Macaca fascicularis: one gene and its partners. The protein of the gene in region 4 purifies or fractionates together with the protein of the main gene of each other region. This does not show direct contact. Links are inferred from orthologs where the notes say so. Each region holds a gene or a part of one and is shown on either strand. Other genes may lie near its edges. The genes, in order: EXOC6, EXOC8, EXOC6B, EXOC1 and EXOC7.

Region 1 (6,250 bases), on a different chromosome or scaffold from region 4:
CCAAGGCTAATGTTGACTGAGCTCTAGGCTAAACATTACACATATATTACCTTCTTTAATCCTCACACAATTTGGTAAGCTAGGGATTCTTATTGTCCTTAATTCACACTTGAAGAAGCTGAGGCTTAGTCAAGTTAAGTAACACCCCGAGGCCTAGCATCTAGTAAGAGATGAGTTGGAATTTGAACTCAAGTAGTTAAATGCCAGACCAGAGCAGTTGCACTCTACAACCTCATTCTGAGGGAGGCGCTTTCCCAAGACAGGTCATTAGTCTGTAGATAAATGATGCAAAGATAAGTTGCTAATGACTAAGAGTTTATTTACAAGTCAAATCCTTACTTTGCCAATTAGTTTTATACTGGACACAAAATGCATCTCCTGCTCTGCTGGTCTTCCTAGTGTATCTTTCTTCTTCCAGGAGTCCTGAAAAGAGATTTTGGATTGATCTCTGGAAGTCAATATCCACTGCCAAAAAATAATTCCACATGCATCTGCAATCTACCTGTCTGTGCCCTGCTACTCCATAACCTTCTTAGTGCAGACATTAAATCATTCACTCCTAGGGGCTGGGCGTGGTGGCTCATGCTTGTAATCCCAGCACTTCAGGAGGCCGAATCAGGGTGATGACTTGAGGGAAGGAGTGGGAGACCAGCCTGGCCAACATGACGAAACCCCGTCTCTACTAAAAATACAAAAATTAGCTGGACGTGGTGGCTTGCACCTGTAATCCAAGCTACTCAGGAGGCTGAGCAGGAGAATCGCTTGAACCCGGGAGGCAGAGGTTGCAGTGAGCCAAGATCGTGCCACTGCACTCCAGCCTGGGCAACAGAGAGAGACTCCATCTTAAAAAACAAACAAACAAACAAAAACCATTTATCCATTGGATGGGCTTCCCCCACCCCACATTTATATATTTGATATATCTATGTCCATGATTAAAATTAGGGCTGGGTGTGGTGGCTCACGCCTGTAATCCCAACACTTTAGGAGGCCGAGGCCGGCAGATCACCTGAGGTTGGGAGTTTGAGACCAGCCTGACCAACATGGAGAAACCCCGTCTCTACTAAAAATACAAAATTAGCTGGGCGTGGTGGCACGTGCCTGTAATCCCAGCTACTCGGGAGGCTGAGGCAGGAGAAACGCTTGAACCCAGGAAGCGGAGGCTGCAGTTAGCCAAGATCACGCCATTGTTACCCAACCTGGTAACAAAAGCAAAACTCCGTCTCAAAAACACCAACCGAACAAACAAAACAAATGTACAGTTAGTTATTTAGGACATTTAACTTTGAATTCTTAGCTAAAACCTCCCGGTACTCACGGAACTGTCAGAAGTCTCAGAGGGAACCAGCAAAAACTGTTTCAGAAGGAGAAGTGGTAAATGGACTTCCTTCCATGTTCACTTGAATTTCGGGGAAGATACTGCTGCTTATGTTGAAGTAATCTCTCTGCGCAGGTGTTGAAACAGGCCTGGCCTGAGGAGTGCCTAAGCAGGGCTGGTTTCCCAGAGCAGGGGCACACTTGAAGCTGGCTTTGGAATAAAAGATATCAGGACAGGTGAAGAAAAGGCGGAAAGTTCTAGGTAGGGAATGATCAGGAAAGTAATGCTCCAGCTGGAGACACTGGTCAAATAGGAAGCCGGCCTGTGCCACATGCCCTGCTCTCCTCATCTTGCTCGCTATCATAGTTCACTGCAGACTCGAACTCCTGGGCTCAAGTGATCCTCCCACCTCAGCCTCCCAAAGGTCTGGGATTATAGGTGTGAGCCACTGTGCTTGAGCTAAGATAAGTTCTTAAGAGGGGAAAATAACCTTTTGAAAATTGAAACTGAGACATAAAAAAATGAAGACAAACTTTGTCCCCTCCCACAAAGAGAATGAAAAGCTAGGTCTCTCTGCAGGAAATGGAAGACTATCTTAGCTCAATGGATGTGTATAGCCGGAATCCATTCCTCTGAAGATTCCAGATTAATAGGAAGGTGGGCATTAGCAATGTTTTACAGGGCCCTTCCTAAGTTTGGTAGGCAGTGGGTCCCACTGATGCTCACATTCTAATCCCTGGAACCTGTGAATATGTTATTTTTACATGACAAAGGGGATGTTGCATATGTGATTAAAGTTAAGGACCCTGAGATGGAAGATTATCCTGGATTAAATGGTTGGGTCCACTCTAATCATATGGGTCCTTAAAAACTGAGCATCTTTTCTAGCCTAAGTCAGAGTCAGAGGAAGATGTGACCACAGAAGAATGATCAGAGAGATGCTACTAGATTTGAAGATGGATGAAGGGGGCCATGAGCCAAGGAATGTGGGTGGCCTCCAGAAGCTGGAAAAGGCAAAGATATTCTCCTGCAGGGTCTCAGGCAAGGAACACAGACATGCTGACACCTTGATTTTTAGCCCAGTGAGACCTGTGACAGACTTCTAACGTACAGAACTGTAAGATAATATGTCTGAGTCATTTTAAGCTAGTCAATCTGTAGTGATTTGTTATAGCAACAATGGAAAACTCATACACCATAGGACAGCAATATGAGGTAGACACTGCTATTGTCATTTACAGTCATTTAACTGACATAGAACTAGGTTCTTGCCCAATGTTACACAGCTGTCAAGTGATATTTATCCAAGAATTAATGTCTTCAGACACTGGTCTTCAGAGCTCATGCTCTATTATACAAAACCACCTCCCAGGATGTTTGTGGGGAGGAGGCTGGAGGTAGGTTTCGAGTAAAAGCTCACTGAGGGTGAGTGAGTTACACAGCTGGATAAAGAGCTGGTTGACTCAAAGGGAAGCTTTTCAAAGCCCTGGATTAATGTAGAGCAGAAAGTAGTTGTTCCTCAGGCTAGGTTTACATTCTGTTCCTGTTTAGTCTTCCTTCCTCCCTGCTTTGATCATGACAAACTGGTTTACTCAGTGTCCCACAAACATGTCATTAAGCAGGACTTTTTTCTACACTGATACTTTTGTCCAAGCCTCCTTGCCTTCGCTCTCCCACCTCCCTGCTGCTAACCCCCTTTCAAGAGCTCTCAACCCTCCTCAACCCAGCTACCCTGACCTGGGGGCACTGGGATTCAAGGACTTTGGCATGAATCACACATCGCCCTGGGCTTTTTTTTTTTTCCAGTATCTTTGCCATCAAGTGCCTTAATTTCTCGTCATTTCATTTTTCTGTCGCTTATAATTTATTTCCAAGTTGACTGGCCACTGGTGGACTTCTTGCAGGTGAGGACATGAATCCACCTGGAGCGGTCTTCATGGTCAACTGGGATCTTTATTCGTTCCTAAAATAAATCTTACTATCACACGCAATTTTGCTTTTCGTGAGCGCATGTGTTCCTTTCTCTGATTGCCCACAACGCAGAGTACATCAGGCCCTTGTTAAATGTCCCCGTGGCTCTTATTACAGAGGCAGGGTGATGATCTGAGTGTCCACCTCGCTGACTACTACGGTATCCCCAGCGTGTGGCACAGGGTGTGGCACGCACAGAAGACAAGAATATATGTTAAAGCCCAAAGGCCGGGACTAGACGCCCAGGAGGGGCTGGCCGCAAGGGAGAGCAGGAGGCCAGCTGGGTACCCGGCAGCCGCCCGCAGCCCCCACTCACTCCCGCAGGTGCGGGGGCGGGAGCCGGGTAGCGCGCCTCCTGCCCGGCGTTCCGCGCGCCCCTCAGCCGCCGACTCTCGCGCCCCGCCCCCGCCCCGCCCCTCCGCGCTCGCGCCACCTGGCGCTCGCCCCCGTCGTTCCCGCGGCGCCGCGCCTCTCCGGTTCCTCAGCTTCCAGCCAAAATGGCGGAGAGCAGCGAGGGTCTGGGCACCGTCCCCGAGCACGAGCGGATCTTGCAGGAGATCGAGAGCACCGACACCGCCTGCGTGGGGCCCACCCTCCGGTAAAGATCTCATCCCCCAAGGACTTCGGCTCCCCGCCCTGCGCCGGCTGCTCCTCAGGAGCCGGGCGGGGCGTCCGCCGCCGGCCGCGCGCGAAGCTCCCCGACAGGTGGTGCGCGCGGGGGCGGACGGGGGCGCTCGCGGGTGGCGGAACTCTAGCCCGGACCCGGGCGGGACCGAGAAGGCGGCTGCACCTGTCGGCGCGGCCTGCCTCCGCCTCTGGAGCTGTCACCCCGCAGCCGGTGGGTGTGGCTGCCGCAGCGTCTCTAACCCCGGGCGCCGCGGTGCGGCCCCGCGTTCTTCTCCTGGCTGCGGCCCCAGGGCCCGAGGACACTCCTGGGCCCTGGCCCCGTCTCGCTCGTGGCAGGACTGAGGGCTGCTCGGCCGCGGGCGTGCCAGGCTAGGGTCGACAGCCGGCAGTCGGCGTGTCGGAGGTGGCAGGTCGCGCGCGGGTGGAAAGCCTGGTGCGCCAGGCTGCCACGGGCGTGGGAGAATTGAAATTGAGCGGGAGACGCCGGCCCCTTCCCCCTGCTCCCCCGCGCGGCCGGAGTGGGCGAGAAGAGCGCGTGGGCTGGAGGGGAGGAGCTGCTTGCTGCTTGGGAACGCCCTAGGGTGACCCTGCACTCGCGGGATCTAAGCTGCTTTGGAGGCAGAACAGCTTTTACTTATTTACAAACATTTCATTAAAATTGCATTAATTGTTCCGGTTATTTTAAATCGAGTTCCTCCTCATTCATTTTAAGAGTAGTACTAGGTAATGCATATTCCATGCCAGACTGAATGAATACCTGCTGTTCCGATAGAATATTATTAGCCAGGCACCGTAATGAGCCATGGGTTAGGTTAGGCACTGTCTTCAAGAATAAGTTCCTTTTACATATAAGGTTTCATCTTTTGGAGTGATGATATGATAAATGAAGTTATGATTCACTTACGGAACTTGAGACTGATTATGCTTTATCATTAGTATTTATTCGGAATACTCTTCCTAGAAATAGAGCGCTGTACAGTTTGTGAACCGGTGAATGTAGTGTAAATTGAAGCCAGTTCAAGTTATGTAAATACACCTTGCCCTTAAGAGTCAGGAGGCCTGGGTTCTTGTTTTGCCCTAGTCCTGCCACTGATGAAATGTGCAGTCATGGAAAACAATTATTTAACCTCTCTGGATCTCGGTTTCGTTGTTTGTAGAATGGGGAGGGGAGAGTATTCAGATGTCCAGGAAGCTCAGAACATTAGGGACCTTGCCTATTTGTTCACTGCTGTATCCCTAAGACCAAGCATGTGGTAGGAATGTTACAAATTTTTGTTACATAAAGTTTCTGCTATGATATGATAATGCATAATTAGTGCATTTCCTTAATTTTCCAACATTATTATGTCTTTTAATAAACTATACTTGGTAATGAAAGAAGTAAGATTAAAAGGAAGCTTTGTTTTCATCACTGCATCTTGCAACAGTGCAGTGCGTGATAAAGTTACTAGAGTAGTTTATTTGTGAAGATAGTACTGGTTATGAAAGAGGTGCTTCATCTTGGGAAAATGTGCTAGGTAGTGTCCTTGAAAAAAGATGAAATTAACTTAGAAGAACATTTTGAGATATATTGAGAGATTTTTGGGACACTCAGGAACAGAGTATTTGTATTCATAGTGTTATTCCGTTCTCTTTTGTTGGGCAGTTGTTTCAACTGGCTCATTTTGTTTGAACCCACTCTCTTTAGCAAACTCTAGTGACTCACACTTATCCCATATATATGTATATTTATGTCTCATTTATAAGCAGACGCTTTTTGCACACATATAGAGGGTACTGCTAGCAGTCTTTTCTCTTGAACATTGTTTAAGCTACTACTGTTTTTTTCCCTGTATTTTTCAGGTTTCACTAAGTGAAGTGTTAATACTGCATTTTAAAAACCATTTATTATGGAAGCATTTTAAATGTTTAAAGAAGTAAAATAGTGTAATGAACCACCATGAACGGTCATCTAGCTTCAATTCATTCCCTGGCCAGTCTTGTTTGAGCTTTTCCCTTATCTACTCCCCCTCATCTTGGATTATTTTGAAGGAAATCCAAGACATCAATTTATTCATAAATATTTTAGTATTAAGATTAATTTTTGTTGTTATTTCCTATCTTTTAGCTGGCCTGAGACTTATTTTATTTATATTGTTTTTTCTCAGCGGCAGGATTTTTCGGCCTGACCTTTTCCTGAGAAGCATGTGATAAACTTTCCACAGGCCCTGACAAATAACATGGTTCTTTGACCACAACAGAAGTATATTAGAAATCAATAGTAAAAACGAAAACAAAAACTATCTGGAAAATTCCCAAATATTTGGTCATTGACTAACACACACAAAAAATAAA
Region 2 (6,151 bases), on a different chromosome or scaffold from region 4:
GGCCTCTAGAAGCCTTTTTTTTCCCACTATGAAGCACTATAAAAAACATAAGGTGTTCATTATTATTTGCCCCATAATTCAAGTTTGCACTGAGGGCAAAGAGACTTTTTAAAAGATACATACAGGTGAATTCACAGCAGTCTAAATCAATGACAAGCATTTGTAAATTACTGAGCTAGGAAGCAAGTTTACATGAAAAATACCTCTACAAGATCCTTTCTTGGTCTCAACTTTAAAAGGGGTTCGCTGAGACGGATGGAACACATTCCACCCTTCCCTTCATAGCTGCATATCCCAGCACACCTAGAAAACAATCACCATAAAAATGTGTTACATTGACCAAATACGCCCAAGTCCTTACACATTCTTGGGCAGTGCACACTAAGAGAACTCATTTGGCAGATGGCTTTCTTGAGAGTATACCCCCTTGGTTAGCAGATACTTGCATTTCACCCAATTAATTAGTTACAGCCCCCGGGGGCGCCTCCCGCGATGGCTCCCCGGCCAGGCGAGGAAGGAAAGCAGCGCCCTCTCACCACCCTGCTTGAGAAGGTGGAAGGCTGCAGGCACCTGATAGAGACGCCAGGACAGTACCTGGTGTACAACGGGGACCTAGTGGAATACGATGCGGACCACATGGCCCAACTGCAGCTTCCCTTGCCCTAGCTAGGCTGCAACAGCTCGAAGGCAATCCCATTCTGCTACTCCCAGTCTCCTTACGACAAATCACAGTTTGGTGTTATTAACAAGCAGGTATCTCCAATAGTGTATCTCCAAAATGATAACAGACGCCTGTATAAAGGAGATTGGTACTTTAAACACAATTTAATATGATATCTTAATTTGTTTGTAGGTTGTTTTCTGTCAACTCAAAAACAAGCATGCTGGTGGTATACAACTGTATCTTAAACTTCACCCTATTCACGTGCAGGAGTAGATTATTATTTCAAATAAGGATTTCTCAAATTTAGCATGTAGAAAAAGAATCGTTTTAAAAGCATCACTGAAGATCCCCACTGCAACACACGAGCTCACTAAAGTGGGTTCCTAACGGGAAAGAGAGGAGGGGAACGCACATCCTTTGGAGGTTACTCTGCGTCCTCAGCACTTTCTTAGGGGCAGATTTGGTTGCTTTTCCCTTCAGGGTCCTACAGCACTATCATAAGGCAAATCAGGAACTTGTTATTTTCAAGTTTAGTGAGATTCAAACACAAATCTCTTTTCTCGTTATGGCCCTGAGTCCAACCGTGGCGGTGGGGTCTACACAGCTTTCTTATTTTTCGAGTGGGAGAAAAGGTAAGAAAAAGAGAAATACGCCAAGGCAGGAATTGCCAGGTCCAAAACCAGACTCCCCCCTCATTTAATGCCCCCTGGGACCGTCGGACCAGAGAAAGGAGAGAAGACCAGGATCGGGGGCTGCAGGAGAACTGCCAGTCCCGCCTCTTTCCCCAGCGGGGCTCGGAACTCACAGGGTCATTCGCACGCTCCACTTCACCTCGACGGCCTCCAGCTGGCCCCAGAAGAACTGGTCGTTAAACTGAACAAACAGGGCCTGCAAGTCCGGTGTGGGGTCCACCAACTCCCACGACGCGTCCACTAGCGACAGGGACTCCTGGGCCTGATCGCGCTCCGCCTCCTGCAAGTTCCACTCCTCCTGAAGCCGCAGGGCCAACATCAGGTCATCGTCCATCGTTGCCAGGATCACAGGCGGGATCCGCCGGTGTCAGGCTGGCTCCGAGTTAGGCTGCGACCCCAAGCCGCCTAGCGGAGGACCAGGACTAGCTCCTAGGAGATACCGGCTCTCGAGACGGCCAGTCAATCCCGCGAGAGTTCGCGGAAACTCGCTTAAGAAAGAGAACGTGAACGAGAACGGCGCTTACCCCAAACGCCGAAGCCAAGATTCTAGGGCTTTAAAACAAGCAGTCAGCACGACACCTCCTAGTGGGCGCAGAACCTGGGCTCACAGGGCACCGGCCCTACGAAGCTTTCAGGAAGCTAGTTCCAGCCTTTACTCTTTGCCGGTTATTTCAAACCTCAACGTCACGCTCGGTTCATGCGCAGTACCCAAATTGCTCTCGGCCTCTCCACTCACTTCCGCACTAGCTCCTCCGGCGCATGCGCCTTAACTGATGGCATTCCTGCGCAGGCGCAATGTCTGCGCCTGGCCCCTTGCGCAGGCGCAGTGTCTGACGCTCAGACCCGGCGCAGGCGCACTCGTCTTGTTCCAATTCCTGCTTCCTCAGCCCAGGAGCTCGGCGGGTCTTGGGTGGGTGTAGACAGCCGCGGCGGCTGCGGCGCCGATAGTGACAGTGATTGCGTGAGACCCGGACGGAAATGGCGATGGCGATGTCGGACAGTGGGGCGAGCCGCCTGCGTCGGCAGCTGGAGTCAGGGGGTTTTGAGGCGCGGCTGTACGTGAAGCAGCTCTCGCAGCAGTCGGATGGGGACCGGGACCTCCAGGAGCACCGGCAGCGCATCCAGGCGCTGGCGGAGGAGACGGCGCAGAACCTGAAGCGCAACGTCTACCAGAACTACCGGCAGTTCATAGAGACGGCCCGTGAGATCTCCTACCTGGAGAGCGAGATGTACCAGCTCAGCCACCTGCTGACGGAGCAGAAGAGCAGCCTGGAGAGCATCCCGCTTACGTTGCTGCCTGCCGCAGCTGCCGCCGGAGCCGCTGCCGCGTCTGGCGGGGAGGAGGGAGTCGGTGGGGCGGGGGGCCGAGACCACCTCCGAGGCCAGGCCGGTTTTTTCTCCACCCCCGGTGGCGCCTCCCGCGACGGCTCCGGTCCAGGCGAGGAAGGAAAGCAGCGCACTCTCACCACCCTGCTTGAGAAGGTGGAAGGCTGCAGGCATTTGCTGGAGACGCCGGGACAGTACCTGGTGTACAACGGGGACCTAGTGGAATACGATGCCGACCACATGGCCCAACTGCAGCGGGTGCACGGCTTTCTCATGAACGATTGTTTGTTGGTGGCTACCTGGCTGCCGCAGCGGCGGGGCATGTATCGCTACAACGCTCTCTATTCCCTAGATGGTTTGGCCGTAGTCAATGTCAAGGACAACCCGCCCATGAAGGACATGTTCAAGCTGCTTATGTTCCCCGAGAGCCGTATTTTCCAGGCCGAAAATGCTAAAATCAAACGAGAGTGGCTGGAAGTGCTGGAGGAGACCAAGAGAGCCCTCAGTGAGAAAAGGCGAAGGGAGCAGGAGGAGGCAGCGGCCCCTCGAGGGCCACCCCAAGTGACTTCCAAGGCCACTAACCCATTTGAGGATGACGAAGAAGAAGAGCCAGCTGTTCCTGAAGTAGAGGAAGAGAACGTGGACCTCTCCATGGAATGGATCCAGGAGTTACCTGAAGACCTGGATGTCTGCATTGCGCAGAGGGACTTTGAAGGAGCTGTTGACCTGCTGGATAAATTGAACCATTACCTGGAAGATAAGCCTAGCCCACCTCCTGTAAAAGAACTAAGGGCCAAAGTGGAGGAGCGAGTTCGACAGCTCACTGAGGTGCTGGTTTTCGAACTCTCCCCAGATCGTTCCCTGAGAGGTGGTCCCAAGGCTACTCGCAGAGCAGTTTCGCAACTGATCCGGCTGGGCCAGTGCACGAAGGCCTGTGAGCTATTTTTGAGAAACAGGGCAGCCGCTGTTCATACAGCAATTCGTCAGCTTCGCATTGAAGGCGCCACTTTACTCTATATTCATAAGCTGTGCCATGTCTTCTTTACCAGCCTTCTTGAGACTGCAAGAGAATTTGAGATTGATTTTGCAGGCACTGACAGCGGCTGCTACTCCGCCTTTGTGGTCTGGGCAAGATCAGCCATGGGCATGTTCGTGGATGCTTTCAGCAAGCAGGTGTTTGATAGTAAGGAGAGCCTCTCAACAGCAGCTGAGTGTGTAAAAGTGGCTAAGGAGCATTGCCAGCAACTGGGTGATATCGGACTGGACCTCACCTTCATCATCCATGCCCTTCTGGTGAAAGACATCCAAGGGGCCTTGCACAGTTACAAAGAAATCATCATTGAAGCCACTAAACATCGCAACTCTGAAGAGATGTGGAGAAGGATGAACTTGATGACGCCAGAAGCCCTGGGGAAGCTCAAAGAAGAGATGAAAAGCTGTGGGGTAAGTAACTTTGAGCAGTACACAGGGGATGACTGCTGGGTGAACCTAAGTTACACAGTGGTTGCTTTCACCAAACAGACCATGGGCTTCTTGGAAGAGGCTCTGAAGCTGTATTTCCCAGAGCTGCACATGGTACTTTTGGAGAGCCTGGTGGAAATCATTTTGGTTGCTGTTCAGCATGTGGATTATAGTCTTCGATGTGAGCAGGATCCAGAGAAGAAAGCTTTTATCAGACAGAATGCATCCTTTTTATATGAAACAGTCCTCCCTGTGGTGGAGAAAAGGTTTGAAGAAGGTGTGGGGAAACCTGCCAAGCAACTCCAAGATCTGAGGAATGCATCTAGACTTATTCGTGTGAATCCTGAAAGTACAACATCAGTGGTCTAATGCTTGGGTCTGTTTATATGTATGTATATATAGAGAGAGAGCGCTTATATATTATTTATATTTATATTAAGTTGTATTAGCATACTCTTTATAGTTTCAAACACAACTTGAAAATTAAAAGTGCCCTCTTAGAATACAAAAATCAAAAAGAGGAAAAGAAGTTAAATTAAGCCCAAATAACAAAAATACTGGAATTATTAAAACATATAGTATGCTAGCTATCCTTTTAAATTATGCTGATTCTCTTCTGAAATTATGGTCACACTATACACTATAGCATTTCAGTTTTATCCTTTGATAAAACACTTTTTGGTTTTTTTTTTTTTTTTTTTTTGAGACAGGGTCTCACCCTGTTGCCCAGGCTGGAGTACAGTGGCAACGTCACAACTAAATGCAGCCTTGACCTCCCAGGCCCAGGCAATCCTCTCACCTCAGCCTCCCATGTAGCTGGAACCACAGGCTGGCACCACCATACCCAGCTAATTTTTGTATTTTTTGTAGAGATGGGGTTTTACCATGTTGCCCAGGCTAGTGTTTTCTTTCTTCTTTTTTTTTTCCGCACAGTATATATTATACAGCAGAGTAATAATATCTATAAACATAGAGTTTATGTTGTGAAAATTTTCCCAGTTCACTAAAAGGTTTCCTAAAGGGTACAGTGCAGTATAAAACACCCTGCCTCATTTATTTCTCCTCAAAACGTTGGACTATTTGGGAAAAAGAAAAGCGTTGGGAAAATTGGTTTTAGGGTAAGTTTTAGTCAAAAGAGTTCTTTCTTGAAACTAGCTGGTGTGTGGATTCAGATACTCTGATCCTTACAGAATCCAAGAGGAAGCTTTCATAAAAACAATTCAGCAACTATTTCTAATATTATTTGAATGGCTAATTTTCAGTTGCTAATTAGCAGCTTTGTAATACTTGATTCAGGAGCGTTTACTTGGAAATCCTAAGGACTATAATAAAATTTTTCAACATATTTCTAAATTGCGTGAGTTTCCAACTGTAGCTTTTGCCTTTGTCACATTTTAAAAAATAATAATAGGCAGGACACATTGGGGACTCTGGCAGCAGTTGCCAGGTTTTAGCTGCCACTGCTTCAGTTTAAGATACAGCTGTCCCATCCTCCCCCATTCAGGGTAGGATATATAGTGGCCTAGATGTCATGCAAATGGAAAAAAAGTTTTAACTGAAATATTTATTTAGATTTCAGGGTCTAGATGGATGGGAAATTAGAAAAACATATGCAAATCTCAGTGTTCTCACTATGACTACTCTGAGCAGAGATTCGGTTTTGTTTCTTTTTGTACCAAAGTGAAAACAGGTGAGACAATGTGCCCAAAACAAAGGGAAGATGAGAACCTTCTGTGACTTCTAAAATGTTCCATGCTGCATTTTTCTTGTTTCATTTTTTTAAACATGAATATAATGCTTCAAATTGTTTAGTAAAACAAAATCAGAAATGTGAGCTTCCCAAGGTTTCTAAACTATCGCTTCTATTGTATGTTCTATAACATTCCTTATACTTTGAGAGAAACTATGCTTGCTGTGATCCATTTTGTCTCTAGCTTCTAGTTGTGATTCTTGTCCATAAGCACCAAATTTGATGCCCATGATTTCAAAAGGTCATTTCTTTTATCTA
Region 3 (6,209 bases), on a different chromosome or scaffold from region 4:
ACCTACGTCTCCCAGGTTCAAATGATTCTCCTGCCTCAGCCTCCTGAGTAGCTGGGATTACAGGCACCTGCCACCATGCTGGGCTAATTTTTACATTTTTAGTAGAGACAGTGTTTTACCATGTTGGCCAGACTGGTCTCAAACTCTTGACCTCAGGTGATCCACCTACCTCGGCCTCCCAAAGTGCTGGGATTACAGGCATGAGCTACTGCGCCCAGCCTGCTCAATACATTTTAACCAGTAATGCTGGAACTGAATCAACGGGACTCACATTCTTTCTATTTGGAGGACATAAACATTAGACAGGTCATCTTGTCTTCTTCACTGGAGGTTTCCAATACTGCTTACTCCAGACCTGTTCCCTGTTGCTAAGATGTGTGGCCTCTGGCCTCTGTGGAGGCTCACAAAAACTGCTGACAGTAGCAGAAGCTAGTTTAACCACTACTGAATATATCTCGTCTGTGCAGCAGCCTGGATCCTGTTATCGGTGAAAAACTTGCTGAGTGAGATGCTAAAATGGGTGTCTGAAGGGACCCTCGGTCATGTATTTCAAGAGATCTTTAGAAATATCAAAGGCTCCACACTCTCCCTACCCCTCCTATGTCTGTTTGGAATTGTTTAAACATGAGTAATGAAACAAAACGAGGACAGGCAGAGATTATCTAGAGACAGACAGATTTATCAACTTGCTCTCTTCCTGGCAAATTAGCACTTGTAACCCATTCCCCTTACTAGTGGTTTATTTATTTTTAAAATGTGTTCTTAGGTAATGACTGCCATTTTTACTAAAAAAGTAATGCATGCACAAGGAAAATAATTCCAAGAGTGCAAATGATAGATAATTAAAAATTACCTTCTTCCCACTTCAGACTCCTTCTTTCCAATTTTTTTTCCTGGATGCCATTACTGTTAACAGTTTTTGGGCACCGTTTCAGAAATATTCTACCTATGTAATATTATATATATATGTGTGTGTGTATATATATATCAAAGCATATATATGAGTATTTATTCTTTTAAAAAACAAATGAGGACAGAGTCTATATACTGTTTCATGCCTTGCTTTTTTCTGCTTAACAACTACAACTTGGAGACAGTTTCATGTATGACCATAGAGTCTTTTGTCTTTCTTTTTAATGATTGCATACTAGTCTGTAGTATGGTTGTAGCACAAGTTATTTAGCCTAAACTTCCAGTTTTTTTGTCTCATGACTTTTTTTGTCAGTGGAAACCCTCTTCTACTAGTCACTCTGGTACTAAACCTTGGAGTAATATCTAACCTTTTTGGTATCTAGTAAATCCTGTCAATTCTCCCTTTTTGATGTTTTTCCTATTTGCTCATTCTTTTTCATTCTCATTGCTGCTTCCCTGGTTTAGGCCTTATCATCTCCTATGGCGTTTCCTTATCTCCAAATTCTCTATCTCTGCACATCTTGCACACTTGCCCTTCACCAAATTTCCTAACGCCCACATTTTGATGTGTCACTCCTCTTAAAAACCTTCTGTGTCTTCCCATTCGTTGTGTTATGTAACAACTCAAGCAATGATCAATAAATCTGATTTTTAAATTGTAACTGAGGAGTTCATGAAATGCAGATGCCTGGATCAGAATCTCCAGATGTATGACCGTTAGTCTGTATTAAAAAAAAAAAAAAAAGTTTCCAGGTGCTTCTGTTGCAGTTGGTTGTTGGATCAGTGGAACCATTAGAACAAAGTCCACATTTCTCAGCCCAGTATTTAAGGCTCCTCGCAATTTCTCTCCAACATGCCTTTCCAGACCCATCCCTTACTACTACTTCTTTACACATCAGTGCAAATGAAATTCTTTTCGGCCGTCTGGATTCTCCTCACAACTTCCGGTTATGCCTTTTAACCTCCGAAACTCAGTCTCTTTATGAAACTTTGGCAACCAGAAGAGATCTCTGAACTCCATTCTCTGTACTGGCTCACAGTTCACGGTTTTGAATTCTCCAGCTCCCCGTGTCTCCCCCACTAGATTGTAAGGCTTCTGTCAGACATTAAGTTACTTTATTATTCGCACCTACAGAGTCTTTGCACTTTGTGACAAAGGTGGTAAACAAGAATTTGTAGGCTTAGTGCCACTGCCTGACTTGATCATCACTGTTTACGCAGTGTTGTTAACTGTTTTTAGCTTACAGTGGGCTTTCAACAAGTATTTGCGGATCCAATGTATGAATGCAATGTATGAATGCACGGAATCCAACCTAGCATTTCCCAGAGAACTACAAATCCCAGCGGACATTACGCAGAACGCCGACGGACGCGGTGACGCAAGGGGGCGTGCCGAGCCTGAGGGAGGGGTCGGCCTGCGGGTAGCCAGAGGCTGGGGCGGCTGTGGAGCCTGGGGTGGAAGAGGGAGTGTGGGGCAGCGAAAAGGTGAGCCGAGCTGACGGAGGGGACGCGCTGCGCGGCGCCCCCAGTCTATGGAGCGGGGTAAGATGGCGGAGGCGGAGAGCCTGGAGACAGCGGCAGAGCACGAGCGGATCCTGCGAGAGATCGAGAGCACTGACACGGCCTGCATCGGGCCCACGCTCAGGTACCCCGGGTGCCGGGGCCACCGAGGGGCGGGAACGGGCGGGACGGGGCAGGCTCCTCTGGGTCCGGGCTCCGGCCGGCTGTCTCCATGGCCGGCGCTGGCCTCTCCCTTGGGAGAGACCCTGCGTTCCGGGCGAGGCGGTCTCCCTTCGCAGCCCCGACGCGGGGTCCCTTCGCGGCGCCCCATAGCCCAGTGACTCAGGAGGCTCCCGCTGTCTCCCTCGGGGCTGGAGCAGCCTTCATTCTCCCTCCGAGGCTAGTCCGGCGCTGGGGAACGAGCGGGCGCCCGACCGATGGTGGTGGCTCCCGTCAGATCTTCTCCCTGGGGACATCACCCTTCTCCCTCCGACTCCAACTCCGTCCTGCCCTAGACAGGAGTCCTGCTCTTCAGATAACACAGAATTTCACTCCATGATCTGGTGCTCGAAATCAAAGTCTTGCCTCAGAATCACAGCCACTTCTCAGAAACGAGTCCTTGGAAATCCTAGGCCTGGATGGAAGTTCCCCCAACCCACGCCCCTCTCCTGGGAGCCGCTGCTCCTTTATCCCTGCTTCCTTATTACGAGGACGACCCTCGCCCACGGTGCAGCCTCCTCATCGCTGGGGAAAATTGACCCTGCTGCCGCCTCCAAGTTACCATTTCTTTTTTTTTTTTGCACGCACATCTCCATTTTATTTGGAGATGTCAAAAGAAATCCCGACTTACCTCAACTTATTTAACAAATTTAGGTAGCACTTGTTACATAAAGTGCAAGACGTTGTAAACAGTGATTTTACAAATGCAACTTATTTAAGCCACAAAACAACCGTATTAGGTAGGTTCTATTACTCTCCTTTTACAGATGGGGCGCAGAGAGGTTAAGTGACTTGACCAAGGTCACAGAGAAAATAAAGTAGGGGACTCAGATTGCTATTCGGGTAGCCTGGATCCAGACACTTAACCACTGTTCTGCCTCAGCTGGAGATTACCGGCTACCCGTACTTCCTGTTGATAATTACTCACTAAGCCTAGTTTTGAACTACTTTCCCCCTTCCCCTCATGTTACTGGTGTCCTAGAACGAACTCAGCCTTATCCCTTACTGTTATGCATTCTGATCTTCATGCAGCCAATACATAGATAACTATCTTACCCTCCTTGCACAGTCTTGGGTCACTGCCCCTCCCATCAGAAAAGTTATTACTCATTGCTTGCGTTCTCCTGGCGTGAGTTGACTCAGGAAAGACTAATTGAAGGAGGGCAGGTTGGAAACTACTCCTCCTCTCCACCTGCACAGCTTCCTTCTCCAGGACACATTGTTAGCACATTTCTGCCAGTACCACCCCTGGTCATAACTATGGTAGTTTGCCTTTTGTCTCTTTATTTATTAAAAGTAATAGCAAAAACCGCAATTACTTTTGTACCAACCTAATATTCATTTATTGAGACAGGGTCTCCTTTTGTCTCCTAGGCTGCAGCGCAGTGAGGTGATTGTAGCTCACTGCAGCCTTGACTTCCAGAGTTCAGCTCCTCCCACCTAAGCCTCCTGAGTAGCTGGTCCTACAGCTGTGCACCACCACCACACCTGGCTACGTTTTAAACTTTTTGTGGAGATGGGATTTTGCCATGTTGCCTCGGCTGGTCTCAAACTCTTGGGGTCAAATGATCCTCCCACCTCAGCCTCCCAAAGTGTTGGGATTACAGGCATGAGCCACCGTGCCTGGCCCCTTTGTCCCTTAAAGTGACTTTTAGCTCCCTTTTTTGGACCAGTTCTTCCACACAGTTGCCTGTCTCTCCACCAACCCCCATTGCCTTATGATCAGGACCATTGTGCTTCTCTCAATTCCCATTTTCTTTAGCTCTTAAGGGTCAATGATCCTATATTTTCCTACATTTTCCTGTATACTTAAAATCATCTCTAGATTACTTAAAATACCTAATATAATGGTAAATACCATGTAAATATATGTTATACTGTATTGTTTAGGTAATAATGACAAGACAAATGTCTGTAGCATGTTTAGTACAGATGCAACCATCCTTTTTTTTTTTGAGACAGGGTCTCACTCTGTTGCTCAGGCTGGAGTGCAGTGGCACAATCACTGCAGTCACTGCTCACTGCAGCCTTGACCGCCTGGTGATTCTCCCCTCAGCCTCCTGAGTAGCTGGGACTACAGGCGTGTGCCACCATACCTGGCTAATTTTTAATATTTTATATAGAGATGGGGTTTCACCGTGTTGCCCAGATTGGTCTTAAATTCCTGGGTTCAAGCAATCCACCTGCTTTAGCCTCCCAAAGTGTTGGGATTACAGGTGTGAGCCACTGCACCCGGCCACTGTCCCTTTATTTTTTCTCTTAAAACTTTGATTGAAGAGGTTGGTTGAACCTGCAGATACCGAGGGTCAACTGTATATACATTACGATTTAAATATAAGTTACCCAGTCTCCCTAAAACTTGTTTCATTGATATTATTGAGTTTTTTCCACTGAAAAGTGGGGTTTTGTGTAGGTAGATGGATTAAGAGATCTTTTGCCCTAAGGGGACACTGTAAAAAAAAAAAGTTTGAGACTCAATACCAGTTTTACTTGCTTTTCTTGACTTCCTATATGATTATTACGGGCTTATCATTTTTGGTCTTAACTTTTTTTTCTTTTTTTTTTTAGCAGATTACACTAAATCTTACTATCAGACCCAGGGTTTATTCACTTGAATATCCTATAATACAAGGAGTACCCATGGGCTTTGTCTTTAGTCTAGCTGTCCCTACCCATATTCATAGGGGATGATCTCACCTTTTTTCCTTATCCCGTTCAGAGGCAGCAGCATGCACAGACTTGATGTTTCAGATCCCATGCCTTACTTGGGATGTGCCTCTATTGTCATTATCTCCTGTTTTTCATCACTATCATTAAACAGGTTTGATTAAGGCAGTAGCTTTCTTGCCTTAACTACTCTCAATTGTAAATCTCGAACTTTTCCTCTTCATAGTATGTCTTTCCTCTTTCTTCATCTTTTGAGGTAAAGGCACCAGATTCTTAACTGTTCCTGAGATAGGCTTTTCTAGCTGAAGAGAAACTAACGAACAGAGAAAGTAAATTGAGAGCAGATATTAGATTAGTATATCCATTCCTAAAATACCTGCTCTTCAAAAAAATCCACTTGGCTATATTGCCTAACCAGACTCTTTCCTTTCCCAGCTATTATTTGTGTATCATTACTTGCTTGCTTTCTTTGCTGTGATACTGGATTGTTTTTCCAGTCTTATCTCTTTTTGTTTGAGGAGTCACAGTGACTTGACTTTTTCATTATATTACTATTATTATTTTAGTTTTGAGCTATACATGTAATATTGGTAGATTCCCATGTATCATAAGGATATACCACCTCTTCTTTTTCGTTGTAATTCTGAAAGGCCCAAGCATACCCGCATATAAAGAGGTTGTTGCTTAGCAAACTCTTTTGGGAAACTAGCTATCTCTCTCTTTGTCTTTACCTTAAAAATTATTTTGTTATCTGTGAGTCCTAATTTTGGAAAGAGGCCTATAAGATGTTAAAGCCTGTCTGTCCTGTTTTTAAAATAATGTTGATTCCTGTTTTGTGTTATAAATACTAAAATTTTGATGACAAATCATTTATGAACAATAGCTCCCTGTTTTCATTTTTCAAATCCCAT
Region 4 (5,677 bases):
AAGCATTTAAGAAATCCCTCAGAGGATAAGGAACATTTTAAAGACTTAAATTTTAGTGTTATGTACATGAAAGGTACAGAAGTTATGGGGTCTGACTCAGGCCCAGAGAGATTATATAAATAGTCCAAGCTTACAAGTTTACAGAGCTCACTGAAAGCAAAGCCTAGAAATGATTTTAAGATGTTAAGAAAGAAATTATCCTGGGCAGATTCAAACGCCAGCTCTGTTACTTAAGAGATGTCAGTGTGTCAGTGGCTTCTGAGCCCTGCTGACTCTTAAAGTTGTATTGCACTTATATTTTATTTACTGTGAATAGTATATAAATAACGTGTGAAACCACAGCATCAGCTGTACAATGATATTCTTTAAATTTCTGGTCCAGGTTTTTCATCATACCATGTTACTTGCCTTTTTAATATGGCTTAGTGATTTATATTTTTTGTTCTAATTAATATTGTATATATGTTCCAAGTCAGCATATTGCTTTGCAGTTTAATTTTGGATTTGGCAGTTTCCTTATTTCAGGGAATTCAGAATCAGTAGTTAGAATCATTTAGAAAATAGTGATGAGGGGATGATGGTTTGTTACTGCTTTGCCTGGGGAAGAAGAAAAACAGAGTTGCAAATGAAAGAGAAAAGAAAAAAGATGATAGAAGGAGCTATCTATCAGCCATATGCTCTTCTACGTCCTGTTACTAGTTCCCTTCATACTACAGTTATAAATTAGTTTCATGTGTCCTTCGGAGTCTGGTATACCACCGCTGCTTTCTCAACTAAGATATCACATAGGTGATTATGCTCTTATTTAGTGTTTCACATAGATGTTAAGAAAATTTCTAGCTGGTAGAATTGGAGGAAATGTTAGAGATAACATGGCCTAATGCCTCCTAAATGTATAGAAATGAGAATGTGCCATTACTGATGATACATTCTGGCACTGTACTTGTGCATTCTGGAACCTTACTTGTGCAGTCTGTGGAAGTATAAAATCCTAAGGCATGTGTATCAATTTAACATTGATAGGCCGGGCGCGGTGGCTCAAGCCTGTAATCCCAGCACTTTGGGAGGCCGAGACGGGCGGATCACGAGGTCAGGAGATTGAGACCATCCTGGCTGACACGGTGAAACCCCGTCTCTACTTTAAAAATACAAAAAACTAGCCGGGCGTGGTGGCGGGCGCCTGTAGTCCCAGCTGCTCGGGAGGCTGAGGCAGGAGAATGGCGTGAACCCGGGAGGCGGAGCTTGCAGTGAGCTGAGATCCGGCCACTGCACTCCAGCCTGGGCGGCAGAGCGAGGCTCCGTCTCAAAAAAAAAAAAAAAAACATTGATAAAGAGGCAAATGTACCTGCATGACTGCATGAAATACTGTGTAAAACATGGAAGACCATAAAGTGATAAACTAAAGTAGATGTGTAGGTATATATCAATTTTTGTTACTCTACTTTAAAGGAAATTTAGCAACATTTCACCTTTATTCTTTTACACACTTAAGTAACATGAAATGTTGTGTTTTTTGTTTGCTTGTTTTGGTCTTTAACTTTGTAGGCTAACATCCAGTCAATCATGGCATCTGAAAAACAAGTCAACATCTTGATGAAATTGCTAGATGAGGCTCTAAAGGAGGTAGATCAGATTGAATTGAAGCTGAGCAGTTATGAGGAAATGCTCCAAAGTGTAAAAGAACAAATGGATCAGATCTCTGAAAGCAACCACCTAATTCATCTTAGTAACACTAATAATGTAAAACTCCTATCTGAGATAGAGTTCCTTGTGGTAAGTATGATCATAAATTACCACCACCACCAACAAAAAAAACTAGTGATGATATATAAAACCCATTTGTAAACATTTTCTAATTTCCTTATGAGAACAGGATTTAAATTAATTCCAAAGACCTAATGATAGGATTGAGTAGCATCTTGCCTGTAAATTTCCCAGAATTACACATGCAAATGGTATGTTTGCATATATTCTAGAACCACATGGACTTGGCCAAAGGTCATATAAAGGCCCTTCAGGAAGGAGATCTTGCTTCTTCCAGAGGCATTGAGGCCTGCACCAATGCTGCTGATGCCCTTCTGCAGTGCATGAATGTAGCTCTTCGACCAGGTATGTTCATTAGAAATGACAAAAATGTGACCAAGAATCTGAGACTAAGCCTGTAACTTGTTATAAAGATTTTGACAAGAAATACGTGAGACAAGTGGTTTAGGGTTACATTATTAGCTATTCAAGTTTCACTGATTTCCCGCTTATTTCTATTGATACTATGAACTTTTTTACTTCAGTTCCTCCTTCTAGTTGACCTCAATGACTATAGTCAACACCAGGATCTTTATTTAGTACTATCCGCAGAACCCAGCAGAAAGTAGGTGCTTTGGTTAGACCAGAGAGCGTAAGGTTTTTCTAGGCAGGGATTTCAAAACTTGAGTGTCCATCAGAATCCCTAGAGGTCTTGTTAAAAACATAGATTGCCTGGCCCCAGCCCCAGATTCAGCAGATCTGGGCTGAGGCTTTAGAATCCACATTTCTAACAATTCCCAGGCGATGGTGAGGCAAGACCACACTTTGAGAACCACTGTGCAGTCCCATTTTTCTCCTGCTTAATTTTTATCAGGTAAATGAATACACTCATACAACTTAGGGGTTATTCAAAACTTTAGATATGTTTAATGTTCCATTAAACATCAAGGAAATCTTTTTACCCGTTAAACTGGTCACAAAATGTCATTCTGTATCAGGCCATGACATGCTTCTGGCAGTCAAACAGCAACAGCAGCGATTCAGTGATTTGCGAGAGCTTTTTGCCCGGAGACTGGCGAGTCACCTCAACAATGTTTTTGTTCAACAGGTAATTTTATTTTATTATTAAGACGAGCATGTTCCTATAGCTTATTTATGTATTATCTTAACCTTACATTTCCACAAAAAGGTTAATAATGTTTAATTGGGGTTGCAATCAATTCCTTCACATATTTGATTTTAATATTTTGAAATAGGTGCCTCTTTGCTCATAGATGTATTTTGGGCCTCAGCTGCCTCTTTCAGTAGACAGTCTAGTTCCCTTCAGCTGATGCTCTCTGATTCTAGAAATCAAATAACTGTGCATATTAATTGCATATACTACTTAGATATTTTTACTTATAAAAGTAAGTCCAAACTTGTTAGATGTTTACTATTGGACTTGTTTTATTTTTCAATATTTTGAGGTGAGACTTAGGACTTGATTCAGTGTCTTAAATGTTTTGTAAGTTCTATGTACTTAGAACATAGTATGCTTGTTATGCTTGTTAAGAAAATGACTATAGCTCAACCATAAATTTCAGTTGATCTAATCTTCATATAAATGCTTTGCCTATATTTTTATATGGAGAAGGATGTTATAATTAAGAGTGTGGTAATAATATTGTTATTAAAAATATTAAGAGTACCTTTGGGAGATTTGAATAAAAGCCATTTTAATATCTAATGTAATAAATTAGGTTTCTTATTTTTTCATCTCTTTTAAAAGTCCCTTTTATTTTATTAGAGTTACTGAATGAAAAAAAATTGGGGGGATAGCTTGTTCATCAAGAAATACTGCCTGAAAACAGTGGATTTTTACTTTATTTTCACTTTGCAATATTCTAAAACAATTGTATTTACTATATTTTATTTCCAATTAGTTTACTCAGGCCCTCCTTCAACTCTATAACAGGTCCTACTTTCTTTCGGTTCCTGTGAGTACATCAAATTTGGCTCAAGCTTCTCTGATTCTGTTTTGTTTTTTTTTTTTTCTATAGAGTTTGCTAAACTTAACAGCAGCAGAATCTTTACAGATTATAACTTACTGATTTAAGCTACTTGTTAACCACATTCGTAGCCGGTTTTTAATGTCCCATAGTAGAGACTATTTGGGCCAAAAAGGCATTTAATCTCATTCTGCTTGCTTTTCTTTCTGTCATTTTTTCAACTCACTTCATTTATTTAGTAATAAATAGTAGTAGTATTCTTCATTTAGTAATAATAGTAATATTACTCCTTCATTTATTTAGTATTGCCAGGTGGTTGAGGTACATACCAGACATTGACTTGGGATAAATGAGAGACCAGTCCTGTCCTCAGGTAGTTCACAGTCTAGGGAAGGGAGACAAACAAATAATATACTCAAGAGGGATAAATGTTATGGTGGTGAGACTGTGGGAGCATAAAGGAAGACCACCTAACTAAAAGCACAGTAAGGGGAAATCAGAGAAATTCCCTTAACATTCCACTTGACCTGAAAAGTGTCAAGAAAAAAGTAAGCTTAGATGTCACATAGGAACTACTAATTCGTGTTTTTCTTAGGTAATTACTACAATAACATCTATTCCTATACAGTTCCTTAGTTTGTAAAAATGACACTGTTGACAATTATGTTATCCACATTTGTAGATAGTATTGAAAATATCAGCCAATAAACAATAGTCTTTTCTGTACCCTTAACTGTTTGTTGTAACCTGCAGTTATTTATGATTTTGCTTCTTGCCTTGTAAACTAATGGCTTCGTTTAAAATGAATGCTTCCCGTTTCTGAAAAGCTAATATGTGTTATTACATGTGAATGATGCATGTTAAATACCAGAATGCTGTGACAACCTAGGATGTGCCAAAAAAGGTGGAAGAAGATATCCCACGCATAAGAAAGAGATTTTCTTAGTGTTGCATTCAGTGCATCAGGTCACCTAGCAAAATTGTTGAGAAACATGGGTATGTCTATTCCTGGTAGGGGCACAAGCTGGGAAAGTTGATTAAAATAATATGGTACACCTCTTTGGCAATCACAAAATTTTCATTGTATGCTTATTATGTACTCACTGTCTACCATATGTGAGAATAAGAAATAGTTCGTACCCTCAAGATGCTTGTAAGAAGAAGTTAAAACTAATGTACTTACTCTTTGTAAGGAGTTAAGACTAATATACATTAGCAATGTGTGTAATATATTGCTAATTGTAGAACTGTGGACTGTAAGTGCTAAAAAGGTTTAATCAAAAGTGAGTTTATTGAGAATTTAAGGAGTCAGATATGGAAGGAATCGCAGATAAGGTAGGACTTGAACTGAGTCCATGCAATACAGTTTATAGCAAATGTATAGTTACAATATTTACAAATATTATACTGAAGAATCCAGTGAAAAAATCTGTTCACAATATAACAGTAATTTCAAAGCACTGATTCTCAGTCTTTTTAAAATTCACAACTTAGTAAAACTAAAAGAAATAAAATTTGGAGACTGACCAAATCACCAATTTTTTTATTTTTACCAAATAAAGACCTTGAAAAGGAAATACTATTATCCACTTTCATTATCTTTTCGTTTTAAAATGACATTTTGGCACTAAAAGAATAAGAATTTCCTTTCAGATTTTAAAAATTAATATGTTTACCTTTATGAAGGACTCACTTCTTTCATTGTACTTTTTCTTATTGCTATAGGCCAGGAAAAACATCTTGCATTTGGGAATCACTGATTCAGAGCATGCTATCTGTGATGCAGCTTTCCTATTAATACTTCTGTGTTATCTATACTTTAGTGAAACTTGAAGTGTATTTTAATATAAAACTCACTGTAATATAGTATGAGAGTAATGTTGCATAAAGATTAGTTAGCTTCTTTTAGATCTTTCAGATCTTACACACTCAACTTCCATTGAAAT
Region 5 (5,677 bases), on a different chromosome or scaffold from region 4:
GACAGTTTCGCGGCCCTCGGCCTGGTCCTCTCTGGCTGATGGCAGCTCTGCCCTCCCTGGGGCTCCCTCCTCCCTCCCCTGTCTCTGTCCTTGTCTCCTGTGTGAACTCAGAGAAAGCTCTTTGTCTGGGGCAGCCTTTCACGCTCAGACCTGCAGTGGCAGCCCCAGCTGGCCGAGGCCTCCCCTCTTCAGAAAGGGGAGTGTGTGCAGCAGGCGACAGGCAAACTGGGGCTTTGCGCAAATACGGCAAGGTGGGGAACCCCCCTGGGGTCAAGCATCAGCTCTTCAGCCCCTCCTTGGTCCTTCTCCGCTTTCCCTGGGCCTCCAGACTTGGGGAAATGAGCAGCTAAGGACGGTCCTGGGTGCTCACTGAAGTCAGGCTTGAAATGGCTGTTCCCAAGGTGGCTTGAGGTAGAGGAGGGGCTCAGAGCCCTCTCTGATGCCCCCTTCCCCATCCCCATCTGACATCCCCCTCCTGGAGATGAAGGGCTTCTCCCTATACCCCAAGGGGCGGCCTGCCGGGCCCCTGGATAAACACTGCTTGTGTTTATGCGGCCAACATCTCGCCAGGTCACGAGCATGATTTCCGAGTTAAGCACCTGTCCGAGGCCTTGAACGACAAGCACGGGCCACTGGCCGGTGAGTACTGCAGCCCAGCCCGAGGGCAGCTGCTGACACTGCCTTCGCAGCGGTCCCCGGATGGCCTGCTCCTGTCTGGCCCAGCCAGGCCCAGTCTGCTCTGAGGATGGGCCAGGCCTATGCGCCTCTCTCTCCACTCTCTTTTGGGCCTAGGTCTCCTTGCCTCTCTCCAGATGGGAGTGCGTGCCTGGCTCTCAGGCCTGGGCCAAGGGGAGAAGCCGCTGCTACTCAGAAAGCAGGCAGAGAGGGAAGGTGGCTCCCTTGAGGGCAGGGAGCCCTGACGTCCGCCTCCTGCAACAACTCAGAGCTCTGATCCCCTCGGAGCCCATCCCTTGGCACATAGGACCAGGCAGTTCTGCCACTGGTTTTGTCCACAGGCGCCCCCGCTGTGGCCTCCAGTAATAGGATCTGGCCTCCTCCTGGGGCAGCTGGCAACCCCTCCTCTCTGGGACTTACCAGCCTCTTCTCAGATTTTGACCCTATGCCAGCCAGCCTCAGAGGCTGCAGCCTACCGCCCTCTTAGATGTTCCAGAAGCCCTGGCTGGGCTGGTCACTTCCTTCGCAGGCCCCACATTTGCCCACATGGATGACCCCAGTGCCAGCCTCCTTGAGGTGGCACAGCCACCTGCCCACCCTGGGCTGCCCTCTTTCAGGTACAACTCAGAATCCTCAGTCCTGGGGTCAAACTACCTTATCCAGGATGTTGATTCAGTGATCTTCCCTCCTTATCCTTCCGTCCATCACCCTCCTGCCTCTGGTGTCTGATCCCACTGTCTGCGCAGAGCTGAGAATGAAGCCAGAACAAAGGCTGGGCTCAGCTCCTATTGTTCCCCTCGAACCTGGCGGGGCCTGCTGGTGCCCTTGCAGCTTTCTGCCAGAACAGTCAGCCTCTTCCCCATCCGCTGCCGGTCTGGGGTGCAGTCCAGGAGCTGGGGGACCCACACCTCCCCAGCCAGAAGTGTGGCTGGCCCCAGACCAGCAACTCAAGAGTTGTGTCTTCCCCAGGGAGAGATGACATGCTGGACGTGGAGACCGATGCCTACATTCACTGCGTCAGTGCCTTCGTCAAGCTGGCGCAGAGCGAGTACCAGCTGCTGGCAGACATCATCCCCGAGCACCACCAGAAGAAGACCTTCGACTCCCTGATACAGGTCCCGTGCCGCCCTGGGGCTCTGCAGCCAGCCCCAGCGAGAGCTGTCACCACAGACTCTTGCAGCCCTCAACTCCAGCCACCACCACCGCCTTGTGCCCTGTGGGCTGGTCCTGGGTGGACGCTCACCACCTCCCCATCGCCCCACTTCCTGCACACTGGCCCCCTACACCCTACAAGGATCCCCCACCAGCCCGGAGCCAGGTCCCACCACCCCACCCTTCCCTGAACTGTCTCCCTGTCCCCTCAGGATGCCCTGGATGGGCTGATGCTTGAAGGGGAGAACATTGTGTCCGCTGCCCGGAAGGCCATTGTGCGACACGACTTCTCCACGGTGCTCACCGTCTTCCCCATCCTGCGGCACCTCAAGCAGACCAAGCCTGAGTTTGACCAGGTGCTCCAGGTATGTGGACGAGGGGCCCTCGAAAACAGCCAGTAGGCATCCTGCTGCCTGGTGTGGCCGCCCTCATCCCTCCCTGGGAGATCCGCATTCTCCGTCCCACACCTCTGCTCTGAGGATGCATGGAGACAGCTTAGGAAGGGCCCTGGGCGAATGAGCTGCTCACTGAGTGACTGGAGGAGAGCTTGGAACTCCCTTGTGCTTCCTCAGGGCACGGCCGCCAGCACCAAGAATAAGCTGCCTGGCCTCATCACCTCCATGGAGACCATTGGTGCCAAAGCGCTGGAGGACTTCGCGGACAACATCAAGGTCCCTGCCGTCCTCCCCTTTCTCCCTCCCTCCCATCCCAGCACCCACAGTGACCTGGCCCTGGGGGACTCTCAGAGAGCAGGCCTCCAAGAGGGTGCGTTGTCCCAGGGGAAGCCAACTGCGCCGCTGGCCTGTCAGCACCCATGTGCCTTCCTTTCCTTCCTGGGGCCTCCAAGCCCTCTGAGGTGGGAAGGGCCTCTCCCCCTTGGTCCAGCCTGGCTCAGCCTTTGTGCCTGAGAGGTGTCCTAGCACCCGTCTGCAAGGAGGCGGCACCGTGAGCAGGTGCACGGGGGGCGTGGGGTGGGCCGGGGGCTGCTTCAGGGAACCAGAGGCTGTTTTTCCACAGAATGATCCGGACAAGGAGTACAACATGCCAAAGGACGGCACCGTGCACGAGCTCACCAGCAATGTGGGTGCTGCCTGAGGACACCGGGAAGGGGGGAGGAAGGAGGACCCAGGCTCAGGGCCGGGCAGAGTACTGTTGGAAGGGACCCAGTCTGGCCCAGAGCTGCTCGCACCTTTGTGAGCGGTCCTGGGTGGCAGGATGGACAGTGACATGCTTAGTGTCTCTAGCAGACAGGGCCCTTCCTGGTAGACTAGAGTGAAAATGAAGTTTCCAGCCGCGCTCTTCACTGGGCGGATCCCAGCCCTGGGCTGGCCGTGGGCACTCAGAGGGGTCGCTGCGGGAGGCCGTCAGCCGGGCCTGCCACTTGCCCTTCTGCACCGTCTTCTTCCCACCCAGGCCATCCTCTTCTTGCAGCAGCTTTTGGACTTCCAGGAGACGGCAGGTGCCATGCTGGCCTCCCAAGGTACTGGCACTTCCCAGCTGGGCCCCCTGCCCCACTCCCCTTCTTGCCTGGAGACATGGGGTTAGAGGGCAGGGAGCAGTGAGGAGGCGTCTCCAGTCTGTGGAGGGGTTGAGATGTGCCCTGCAGAGGGTCCCTGGGGCTGAGCATCAGGAGAGCGAGGTTTGCCTGCACCTTTCAAGACCAGACACTGGACCTCCGGCCCCTCCCTCAGCCCCTTTGACCGTCGTCGCCCTGGAAGCAGTGTCCTCACTCTGGGAGCAGTGCTGGCTGGTTGGAAGGTGTCCTTTCTGCGCCTGCCCCCCTCCCGAATCCTTCTCTGTGTCTGCCTGCTCTCCTCATCAGGCTCGCTCAGCTGGCCTTCAGAGGGTAGCAAGTGTTTCAGGGCTAGCTGGGTGTCTTCCTGCTGGCCCTGCCCTGGGACTGGAGCTCGGGGTCGGCCTGTGAGCAAGAGCACCTTTCTGGTTCATTCCAAGCACTGAGGTCCCCGGGCCCTCTCCTTCCGTCCCATTTTGGGGGCAGGGAGCCCATGGGCAGCCTCCAGCCTGCAGTTTCCCAGCTCTGTACTTACAGAGCGCTCCCTGGTCCTCAGAGGGTCCTGCCTGCTGTGTCTTGCTGTCTGTGTTCTGGCTGTCGTGGGGAGAGGTCTGCTTGACTCGGGTTGACGTGCCATTTCTAACCTGTTTTTTGCACTTTGCATCTTTCTCCCTCCTTTGTCTGTCCTTCCGTCCCCTCTGTGTGCACTGCCTTTCACTCCGTAGTTCTTGGGGACACATACAATATTCCTTTAGACCCCCGAGGTAAGCAGTGCGGTTCTGCAGCCCCCTTCTGTCCCTCTGAAGCTTGGTGGGTGAGGTTCCCTGGGGACTGACTCTCAGGACCTACTGGGGAGCCCGAGTCAGAGGGGACATGAGTTTTCTCAGGGTGCTCTCAACTCTCTCTGCTCCCTTCAGGGCCACTCTGTCTCTGAGCTTATCCACAGCACCTGCCGGGGCCAGAGCCCTGAATACACCCCCCAGGCTCACCCGGCCTCCCTGCCTTGCTGTCCCTACTCGGCCTTCCACACTGCAGGCCGCAGCTTCCTCTATTCAGGAGGGTCTGGTAGAGGGGGATGTTTGAATGTAGGGGAGAAGGTGCAGAGACTGTGAGGAGCCCTTTCTAAGACTCTGCTGTTGGCAAAAAGAAAAAGGGGGCCTTGTAGAAACCACCCAGGGTGGGTGGGCGCAGGAGGGGATAGGGCACTGGCATCTCACTCTTGTCCTGCCAGCTTTTCTGCTGACATGGACCAGCTCCTTAGCCATGCCACCCCATCATAGAGGGCAGCTCTGGGTTCCAGAAAATCCAGGGCCGGTGCTTCCTGTGGCAGGGGCCGCCCTGTGGCTTAGCAGGTAGCTGGCTCTGCCAGAGGAAGCCCGGGGACCTCAGTGTCCCCTCAGACTGCTGCATGGCATGGGGGAAGGGCCGTTGAGGGTCTTGGCTGCTGCCACTGCAATAACAGGACTTCTCCTCTCACAGAGACCAGCTCTTCGGCCACCAGCTACAGCTCCGAGTTCAGCAAGCGGCTGCTAAGCACCTATATCTGTGAGTGTTCTCCCGGGCAGACCAGCAGCCCTGCCGCCTGCATGCCCTGCCTTTCCCTTCCTTCTGTCTGTGCTCTCTGGCTATTCCCAGGGCCCTCTCCTAAGTGCCATCTGACCTTTGGAACCACAACCTGACCTCTAGTTCAGAGGCTGAGGGGAGCTGGGCTAAGGCCTCCTGAGGCGACGAGGAGCGATGGATAGGAGTGCGTTAGCAGGTCCCGGGATGGGGTCGTTTGGGTCAGACTGCCATGATGGGTGTGGCCCCATTTTTCCCTGTGCAGGTAAAGTACTGGGCAACCTACAGTTGAACTTGCTGAGCAAGTCCAAGGTGTACGAGGACCCAGCTCTGAGCGCCATCTTCCTTCACAACAACTACAATTACATCCTCAAGTCCCTGGAGAAGTAAGTGGCCTGAGGGAGCGAGTCTGCGCCCCTCGGCTGTGCAGCCGTGCCAGCCCCTGCCCCCTGGGCTCCTTCTCTTGTGGATGAGAGGGGAGGGGGTGCTTCAGTCTCCTCCATCCCAGGACCCGGAAGGTGGGAGTGCTGCTGCTGTAGAGCTTGTAGAGTTTGGGGTACAATGGGAGGCCCTCCCAGCATTGCTGCAGTCTTTGGGCGTGAGGAGCCAGTCCTGCCCCTTCTCCTCTGTCCCCTACCCTCACCCAGGTCTGAACTGATCCAGCTGGTGGCAGTGACACAGAAGACTGCTGAGCGCTCCTACCGGGAGCACATTGAGCAGCAGATCCAGACCTACCAGCGCAGGTGAGAGGCTGGGCCTGCCCTGCTCCTGCATAGG

What was found.
Region 1: the proteins of EXOC1 (region 4) and EXOC6 purify together in Homo sapiens (affinity purification with mass spectrometry; 4 studies listed by BioGRID and IntAct, counting the BioPlex papers as one, with this or other methods). This does not show direct contact. The link is inferred for Macaca fascicularis from reciprocal best matches to the Homo sapiens genes EXOC1 and EXOC6.
Region 2: the proteins of EXOC1 (region 4) and EXOC8 purify together in Homo sapiens (affinity purification with mass spectrometry; 3 studies listed by BioGRID and IntAct, counting the BioPlex papers as one, with this or other methods). This does not show direct contact. The link is inferred for Macaca fascicularis from reciprocal best matches to the Homo sapiens genes EXOC1 and EXOC8.
Region 3: the proteins of EXOC1 (region 4) and EXOC6B purify together in Homo sapiens (affinity purification with mass spectrometry; 3 studies listed by BioGRID and IntAct, counting the BioPlex papers as one, with this or other methods). This does not show direct contact. The link is inferred for Macaca fascicularis from reciprocal best matches to the Homo sapiens genes EXOC1 and EXOC6B.
Region 5: the proteins of EXOC1 (region 4) and EXOC7 purify together in Homo sapiens (affinity purification with mass spectrometry; 4 studies listed by BioGRID and IntAct, counting the BioPlex papers as one, with this or other methods). This does not show direct contact. The link is inferred for Macaca fascicularis from reciprocal best matches to the Homo sapiens genes EXOC1 and EXOC7.

The regions. Positions count from the first base shown.
Region 1 is NC_088383.1:101,629,845-101,636,094, forward strand, and holds the start of EXOC6 (exocyst complex component 6), read left to right. Parts: upstream 1-2,363; 5' UTR 2,364-3,382; coding exon 3,383-3,887; exon of another isoform or gene 3,888-4,127; intron 4,128-6,250. UniProt on the Homo sapiens protein: Component of the exocyst complex involved in the docking of exocytic vesicles with fusion sites on the plasma membrane.
Region 2 is NC_088375.1:17,751,390-17,757,540, forward strand, and holds the start of EXOC8 (exocyst complex component 8), read left to right. Parts: upstream 1-2,221; 5' UTR 2,222-2,334; coding exon 2,335-4,512; 3' UTR 4,513-6,151. Other genes in the region: DNA-dependent metalloprotease SPRTN, read right to left, coding at 204-303, 1,470-1,690. UniProt on the Homo sapiens protein: Component of the exocyst complex involved in the docking of exocytic vesicles with fusion sites on the plasma membrane.
Region 3 is NC_088387.1:49,085,435-49,091,643, forward strand, and holds the start of EXOC6B (exocyst complex component 6B), read left to right. Parts: upstream 1-2,339; 5' UTR 2,340-2,444; coding exon 2,445-2,557; intron 2,558-6,209. UniProt on the Homo sapiens protein: Component of the exocyst complex involved in the docking of exocytic vesicles with fusion sites on the plasma membrane.
Region 4 is NC_088379.1:77,989,621-77,995,297, reverse strand, and holds part of EXOC1 (exocyst complex component 1), read left to right. Parts: intron 1-1,545; coding exon 1,546-1,773; intron 1,774-1,976; coding exon 1,977-2,109; intron 2,110-2,741; coding exon 2,742-2,851; intron 2,852-3,665; coding exon 3,666-3,719; intron 3,720-5,677.
Region 5 is NC_088390.1:82,516,746-82,522,422, reverse strand, and holds part of EXOC7 (exocyst complex component 7), read left to right. Parts: intron 1-570; coding exon 571-639; intron 640-1,644; coding exon 1,645-1,790; intron 1,791-2,039; coding exon 2,040-2,192; intron 2,193-2,399; coding exon 2,400-2,498; intron 2,499-2,844; coding exon 2,845-2,907; intron 2,908-3,240; coding exon 3,241-3,307; intron 3,308-4,065; coding exon 4,066-4,104; intron 4,105-4,819; coding exon 4,820-4,885; intron 4,886-5,165; coding exon 5,166-5,286; intron 5,287-5,547; coding exon 5,548-5,643; intron 5,644-5,677. UniProt on the Homo sapiens protein: Component of the exocyst complex involved in the docking of exocytic vesicles with fusion sites on the plasma membrane.